Linked DNA regions of Bombyx mori. The protein of the gene in region 2 interacts with the protein of the main gene of each other region in a biochemical or structural test. Links are inferred from orthologs where the notes say so. Each region holds a gene or a part of one and is shown on either strand. Other genes may lie near its edges.

Region 1 (4,600 bases), on a different chromosome or scaffold from region 2:
TCTTCGACAAATGATGTTACTGCAGAAATACTCAGCGACTATCTGAGATCGGTAATGGATAAAGGGGAAAGATCCCACTTTATGTATCAAGCTTTAGGTGATGTCGTAACATACTTTGTGACGTTCATAATACATTGCTCACAAAAAATCGAAAGCAGTAGTTTAAAGTCACCAAAAAAGCTTAAAACGTCTCCCATCATGGAACTGCTAAAGGAAGCAACACAAAACTACTTCCAGAACCGCAGTTGCTTGTTACCAATCATTCTGTTTCACAACGTTCTACAAATGGAATGGGAAGGAATTTATGAGTTAGCCCCGATCGTAATCGAGAATGTGTTCAATCCCGAAGTTAGACAGTTCCGGCGCAACGAGGGATTGGAACTTTTGGCGGGCCTGTATCGAGCCTTGAAGAGAAACAAACCCGAAACGGATAAAGCGCTCGCTTGCCTAGATAATTTGGAAAATAAATTTGATATTACATTAAGAAAAACACTGAAGGGGCAACAGCAATTGGCTGTCAAAAACAATTTCTTCCTATTACTAAAAAAATTGATAAACAGCATGAAAATTTTCCACGAGAGCTGCCATGTTAAATGTAATTTAGATTTTAATACTTTGTTAGAAATCGTAGGTTCTTGTAAGGGTACACTAAAAGCGAGTGAAAATAATAAGAAAGCTAATGCGATTAACCAAAATAGTAAAAATGGTGAAATCGCGAGTAAGCAGCCTAAAAAAAATTTAAAGAATAATATAAAAAACAAAAGAAAACTAGAACACATGAACGGACACGCTGATGCGCACGGAAAGAAAAAACGAAGAGATTCTGAAACAGTTGATTTGTAAAATATTTTTTGTATAATTTATCATTTTCACAATGAATATAATTATTTTACATAATTTAAAAATTTCGTCTTTCTTTCTTCCCTTTAGTTTAGTAAAATATTAACTCAAAATATGCATTCAAGCTTTGACTACCTAACTTTGGATATAAGTTATTCAAACATAATTTATTTAAAACCAAAGCTAGTATGTACATAGCGACATCTATAAAAAAGGTTATTACACTCTGTGAAACGCTCAATAGGTGGCGTTATAAATATCCGCTCTGAGTTACTAGACCAAATAAAGTTATTAGAAGATTGAAGTGTGGAACACATGAAATACCATTGTTTTGGATAAAATATTTCTTAGTTTTTAAGGGCATGCACTTTGTGACAGTTAAGGGATTCAGTAACTAGACTAGACTCTAATACTTTTAAGTTTTGAACAATAGCTTCATTTCTTTGCCTCCTTAAAAATTACAGAAAATGTTGACTAATCTCATCGCATTATTTAAACCTAATCAACAGAATTGTCGTAATCAATATGAAGTTTGGCGTGTAGAAAGGCTCAAACGAAGCGATATGTTTTCTTAAATTCACTAACTTCTTATGACAATATAATACAAAGCATTTACCAGAGCTCAAGAGCTTTCCTACGTTACTTAGATAGTAAAAAACAATATTGAAAGAATAATAAAATTATATTTTAGCTGTAAACCAAACCATATAATTAAGATTAATCAGTGACAGTAGAATGACACAGAAAATATATGGCAACACAAAATCAACCGGAAGTAAGTAGTAACTCATATGTTTCACAACCTGCTCAAAACTCTGCCAGCCATCTTTTGTCGAAAAATCATTTGTTTCGTGTCTTCAGGGTAAATTTCACAATTGTAATTAATGTCAGAGCCACAGTCTTCGCTTTTATTAAAAAAGCAATTAGCTGGTAAGTTCTTATTTAACATAAAACTCATGTATAATATGCCAGTCACCGCGCTAGTCAAGTTCTGAACGAAATTCGTTGACCTTATCGAGTCAAATTTGGTAACTATTAATTGTAGTATTTAACGCATTTATAGATTATATTTCAGGTCTAATGGAGTTAGGTTAATTAATGAGGAATAAACCTGCCAAATAAAATCAATATCCGTTGCGATGACAGGTACACTTTGCCAAAGTCAAACTGTAGATCGAGTGTATTTACGATTTGGATTTGGCAAAGGTTCACATTACTGGCGAACAATGCGGTTAAATGTCCATAATCTTCCGATCTGTGCATTGTCGTTTGTAAAATGAGTGTCTTTTAAATCTTTTTTTTATTTCAGAACTGAACAAAAACCCAGTAGAAGGCTTTTCTGCTGGCTTAATAGATGACAATGATATATACAAATGGGAAGTCCTCATTATTGGTCCCCCAGACACACTATAGTGAGTAAATACCCAAGTTATATATAGTTCAAAGCTATATCTCTCAGTAATCACTATTATTAATTGTTTGCATATTGTAATGTTTATAAAAATGCTGGTGGTATGGTGTATAGCCTTTAAGATGTGTAGATGTATATCATCCTGCATATTTTTTGAAAGAAGCTTCAAGTTATTCAGTTCTGATGGTTCAAGGCAGGTGGCAACATTCACATTGTGATGTCTAAAGACTCCTGTAACCACCATACAGGCTGCAAGTTTTTTAACCATCTATTTAATAAAGAAAAGTATTAAATTATGAGACATGTTGTTTATTCTTAATAAAAATAATTTTCAGCGAGGGAGGTTTCTTTAAAGCACATTTAAATTTTCCCAAGGAATATCCTTTGAGACCACCCCGGATGAAATTTGTGACTGAAATATGGCATCCAAATAGTGAGTATGATGATAATTTTTTTTAGTTAATAATAGTAGAGTATTTTTAACATTTTAAGTTTAGATTACTTTTATATTGACTTAAAGCTAAACAAACCCATTAAGTTTGTTTTGCGAGTGCTTATCATAAATTAGATGTCTAAGTATTTTTTGTTTTGTTTTGATACACTGAATTAGAGAAATATAGCATTACTGTAAAGTGCTTCACTCATTAAAATCTAAGGGTAATTTGATTGGTACAAATTCATTATGATTACAGCTAATAAATATTGTATAGAAAATAAATATGAAAACTACAGTATTTATAATTATTGAACGTATTGTTCATCCAAACGAGTCTGTACTGTCCTGACTATTTCTGTTTCAAAGCAGTGTCATTCAATACAATTGAGACTGACTTGATGTCTAAAACTGGATAATGACATTTACAAAATGGGATCTTCACTCTGGTAACTATAACACCAGGTGGACCATTACACAATTGACTCCATATATCCAATAAATAAATAAGAGTTTAATAAAAAAGCAAAGGTGAACTTCTTAGTACCATGGATTTACTATGTGGGTGCCTTCTATTATATTTTAGAGAGGAATTTATGGTGCAGGTTTAAGGAGTCCCTACAAATGTGGATTACACTCGAATTATTTATGTAATTAATGTAATGAAAATATGACTTTCAGTTGATAAAAATGGTGATGTCTGCATATCAATACTTCACGAGCCAGGTGATGACAAATGGGGTTATGAAAAAGCTTCAGAACGATGGTTACCTGTGCACACAGTTGAGACTATACTGATCAGTGTCATTTCAATGCTCGCTGATCCAAATGATGAGAGTCCCGCTAATGTTGATGCTGCAGTAAGTGGTTTTTTTTTTGCACGTAAAATGTTTCCATTTTAATTCAATAATTTCATTGTAGTTGTAAATGTTTTTGTTATAGAATATTATATTATATATTACTTAACCTATTAAATGCATTTGTAGCAATTTATATAGCTTAGAGCAGGCAGAACATGATGCTAATATACCAAATAGTTGATAGGCAAACTGTTGTTTGTGTTGTAATGTCCAAAATTAAAACTGATATTTCAGTTCGCTTTCTTTAATTGAATTTAATAATTTAATTCATTAATGAATGAATTCACGAATGAAATTTAATTCATTAATATTTAAAAATTAATATCATTTTAAACTTTCAGACACACATTTGTATATCATTAGGGAATTAAGCAGGTAGCGATCACTAACATATTATTTAAACACATCACACACAAAGACACTACTTTTGTACTAAGAGAGGCATAATATAATCTTCCCTAACTAGATATCTTTACTATTCTCGATCATTATTTTTCTGAAGTATACCTTAAAATTTTGGATATGTATATTTTTTTAACTCTTGGATTTCCCTAACAAAGAAATAAAATATTTATCAATACAAAGTTGTACTTTTATCTATAAAATATAAAATGCTTCTGTAGGAATAATTTGTATTATGTAGATAGTTGATTTAACTAACTCTCTTGTACAAACCTTTTTTTTTATTGCTTAGATGGGTAGACGACTCACAGCCCATCTGGTGTTAACCTAGCAATGCTCAGAAACAAATTATGCATAAGCAAGATATAAGCCAGGCAAAATTCAAATTCAATCTTAGTACAATTATTCAAACTGATAGAGAATAGAAACTGTTCTATAAATATAGAATCTGAACATTTAATATGTGGGCGTACATACCTTTACGCACATTGAATTTGAATGTTATTTTTAAACAGTGACACTATGCTTTTTGTTGTGATTATAAGGAACATTACAAATATACTGATTTATCAAAACTGTCCACACCCCACCCATTGTACAGTTATGACTATGCCACACCTCTGCAGAACCAATGACAAGTGTAAGGTTTCAACT
Region 2 (3,829 bases):
GCCTTTTGTTTATTTCACTTTTACACTAAACACAATATTGCAAATTACCCGAGCACAACAATGGCGGAGAATTTTAAGTGCGTGAGAGCAGACGTAGACACTAACGCGCATGCACACTTGTCAGTACCCAGGGAGGAGAAGTTACACTTTCATCCCTGTACAGCGGTATGAAAAATTTGACTTTCTTCCCTGTACAGCGGGAGGAAAACCGAACGGCGTAGGTAGGAGAAAAATAGATATCTAGTTTTGTTTGTTCAGTTGAAGCTTTTTACAGTGTTTATGATTACGATAAGTAGGACGGTAACGAGGAGCTAAGTACCAACAAACGTATTTTTTTTATTGTTATAATATAATCATATTTTGTTGACAGACATTAATAAACATAGCGTACTGCTTCCTCGCCGTCTTCGGTTTCCTGATCCAGCGCGTCGTCTTCGGTCAGCTCCGGGTCTCTGAGGCTCAGCGCGTCAAGGACAAGTTCTGGAACTATGTCTTCTACAAATTCATCTTCATCTTCGGAGTAATCAACGTTCAGTACATGGACGAGGTGATGCTGTGGTGTTCTTGGTTTACTCTCGTCGGCTTCCTGCACCTGATGGGGCAGCTGTGCAAGGATCGATTTGAATATGTAAGTTAGCTAAACTTGATTAACTTAAGATAACATAACAGCAAACTGCGATAATATTTCTTCACTCTTCTAGCAATCAGTCCTTTATTAGGCCATACAAAAGAATACAATATCCTAGAACTAGGATAACTCACGTTAAAAGATATACTAAAAATCTGAAAATACTACTAACATGTGTACCATGTAAATGTGTACCATTTGTGTGTAAGTGTATATGAGGGAGTGGCCCACAGTATCTTAAGAAAGCGTCGGAACGCTACTTCGACAAAGCGGCGACTTATCCGATCGAGACGGAGCAACGCAAAACCGCCGTCGTCCGAAACATGTCTTGTCGGATCTCCCGCATTCACTCTCGGTGCTTTAAGGATCCTCAAGCACCGATCACCATCCTCGTCGAACTTATCGATGACGACGAAGAGTTCGACGGCACAGCCCATAGATATAGCCTTTTGAGTTTCTCGCCGGATTTTCTCAGTGGGTCGTGATTCCGATCCGATACAAGGTTATCCCGTTTTAAAGTTGAACAAATTGCTTACAGCTCCTGTGTGTAGGAACTAGCATATTATTATAATTCGTCGTGAAATCTCCTATCCCGCGTACAAATATAGTTTTCGAGAAAATCTAATAAAACTACTTCCTGAAAAAAAATATGCAAATATTTTTTTAGCACATACGATACTTCGATCTACAACACAATACAAACCGACACTTAGGATTTTTTCATAATATATGACATCATTTTGGCCCAAAATGACACATAGGAGATTTTAAATTTGCAACGACGAATTGTAATTTGGGAATATTTTGTTCAGCTAGCGTCGTCGCCCAACACAGCACGTTGGGTGCATGTTCGACTGGTCGGTCTACTCCTGGGTATACTGGCCGCCTCCACTGCCTTATTGGGCGTTGCAGTCGCATGGGGCTTGCCCGCCGGAAAGGATACTTTCGCGTTTATGGCTGCTGAAGTAAGTTTTATTTTTGGATATCGATTACAAGTTGTATACGAGTCTGCGGACAGGGGAGATACCGGCTGCATGATGAGCACGTAGTGTACTGATGACAACAGAGAGCAGATAGAGGTAATCTCGAGCGACGTGCTTGCGCCGACACGTCGCGTGCTTAGATAACTGACTGACTATGAGTATATGAGATGCATCAGGATAATAAACACAATTTACAAAACACATTTCTATGTCACTAATTTCTTATACCTATGCATAACACGAATTGTTTTTGTTACAATATAATCTATACTGGTTAAAAAAATAAATGGGTGGAATAGTTTATTGTCTCTCTCTTTCTTTACTAATTAATTAAAAAATATTGTATTTTTCTTCCTATTTTCCCTACGCAATCGTTGGTATCCTGAAGGTCTATTCTATAACTACGCGCGGGCAGTATCTGCATCTATTGAAAGTAATTTTAGCTGCATTAGTGGGTTTCACCCGCGTCGGTGTACACGAGACACGGTGTAGTTATGCGTTCGCGGTAGGCAGCGGCTTGTCTCTGCCCCTGGCATTGCTGAAGTCCATGGGCGACGGTAACCACTCACCATAAGGTGGGACATATGGTCGTCTGCCTACAAGGGCAATAAAAAAAAGTTACCTTAATTGAAATGAAGTGAGAGTAGCGCGTTTTTTTTTATTGCTTTGATGGGTGTACGAGCTCACAGCCCGCCTGGTGTTAAGTGGTTACTGGAGCCCATGGACATCTACAACGTAAATGCGCCACCCACCTTGAGATATAAGTTCTAAGATCTCAGTATAGTTACAACGGCTGCCCCACCCTTCAAACCGCAACGCATTACTGCTTCACGGCAGAAATAGGCAGGGCGGTGGTACCTACCCGCGCGGACTAACAAGAGGTCCTACCACCCGGAATAAAAGCGCGTTCCAAGTTCCCTGTGTGGGTCTGTTCCAGTGCCTGCTGGTGCTGATGTCGGTGCTGCACGTGGGCGCGCGCTACGTGCTGCAGCAGCGCGGCGCGGACGCGGCCGGCGCGCTCGCCTACTACACGCACCTCGGCTTCGATGTAAGCTCCGACACCGCGCACCCTCACTGCACTAGCACTCCACACCCGGCAACACTAATGGCGCCGCCGTTTGCAGTCGGCGTCCCTTGTGCTCGAGCTGATGCACGTGGTCCACATGGTGGTGTACAGCAACATGTTGGTGTCGATGGCGTCGCTGGTGCTGCTCATGCAGCTCCGCCACCTGCTGCACGAGCTGCAGGCGCGGCTGCGGAGGCACCGCCTCTACACATCGCTCGCGGACCACATGAGTCGCAAGTACGTCACCGTCACCTCTCAACCAGTCCCTTACAGTGTGCTAGCGGCGTGGCCTGCCGCGTCCCTCACGACCTTCATGTTTTACAAATCAAATCATATCAAACCAAAAAAATTTTATTCAACATAAATGAAAGTACACACTTGTTGAACGTCAAAAAGAACTACCGCCAATTCACAAAACCAGCCTCCGCCCTGAGAAGAACTGGCAAGAAACTCAGCGGGCATGTTTTTTTTTTTTAAATATTAGATTTTTTTTAAATATTCATTTTTACAATGATTATTATAACGTAACAATTATTGCATTATTGAAATGCCCTGAGCGAGCAACTCATTCCCACTTTGTGCAATCTTCTAGATAATCATTGACTTTATAGTAAGCTTTATTGCACAGATGTTCTTTAATAGTTTTCTTAAACCTATGTATATGTAGGCTCTGAACATCTTGTAGGATTTTGTTGTACATTACCCAAACGCTGGGTTACTGATTAACTTATTCGTTTACCTACTTATTAACTGCAAATGTATAACTTGCCACCACATCGGCAACGGGCGCACGATCTAATTTTTATTTTTTTATTGCTTAAATGGGTGAACGAGCTCACAGCCCACCTGGTGTTAAGTGGTTACTGGAGCCCATAGACATCCACAACGTAAATGCGCCACCCACCTTGAGGTATAAGTTCCATGGTCTCAAGTATAGTTACAACGGCTGCCCCACCCTTAAACCGAAACACATTACTGCTTCACGGCAGAAATAGGCAGGGTGGTGGTACCTACCCGCGAGGACTCACAATAGGTCCTACCACCAGTATAGCGACCGGTGTCTTTAAAATAATTATCGATAAAATAAAAGTGTGAATTGCTCCCTAATGCTACCGGTGGGAGGACGTATGGTGCCCTCGCAAGTTTGGGTAC

What was found.
Region 1: the proteins of E3 ubiquitin-protein ligase AMFR (region 2) and ubiquitin conjugating enzyme form a complex in vitro, tested with the Homo sapiens proteins (7 studies listed by BioGRID, with this or other methods). The link is inferred for Bombyx mori from reciprocal best matches to the Homo sapiens genes AMFR and UBE2G1.

What each region holds. Positions count from the first base shown.
Region 1 is NC_085122.1:9,585,928-9,590,527, forward strand, and holds the start of ubiquitin conjugating enzyme, read left to right. Parts: upstream 1-1,636; 5' UTR 1,637-1,724; coding exon 1,725-1,770; intron 1,771-2,149; coding exon 2,150-2,252; intron 2,253-2,586; coding exon 2,587-2,684; intron 2,685-3,365; coding exon 3,366-3,544; intron 3,545-4,600. Other genes in the region: myb-binding protein 1A, read left to right, coding at 1-843. UniProt on the Homo sapiens protein: Accepts ubiquitin from the E1 complex and catalyzes its covalent attachment to other proteins. In vitro catalyzes 'Lys-48'-, as well as 'Lys-63'-linked polyubiquitination. May be involved in degradation of muscle-specific proteins.
Region 2 is NC_085125.1:14,678,137-14,681,965, reverse strand, and holds part of E3 ubiquitin-protein ligase AMFR, read left to right. Parts: intron 1-370; coding exon 371-628; intron 629-1,440; coding exon 1,441-1,593; intron 1,594-2,548; coding exon 2,549-2,659; intron 2,660-2,735; coding exon 2,736-2,914; intron 2,915-3,829. UniProt on the Homo sapiens protein: E3 ubiquitin-protein ligase that mediates the polyubiquitination of lysine and cysteine residues on target proteins, such as CD3D, CYP3A4, CFTR, INSIG1, SOAT2/ACAT2 and APOB for proteasomal degradation.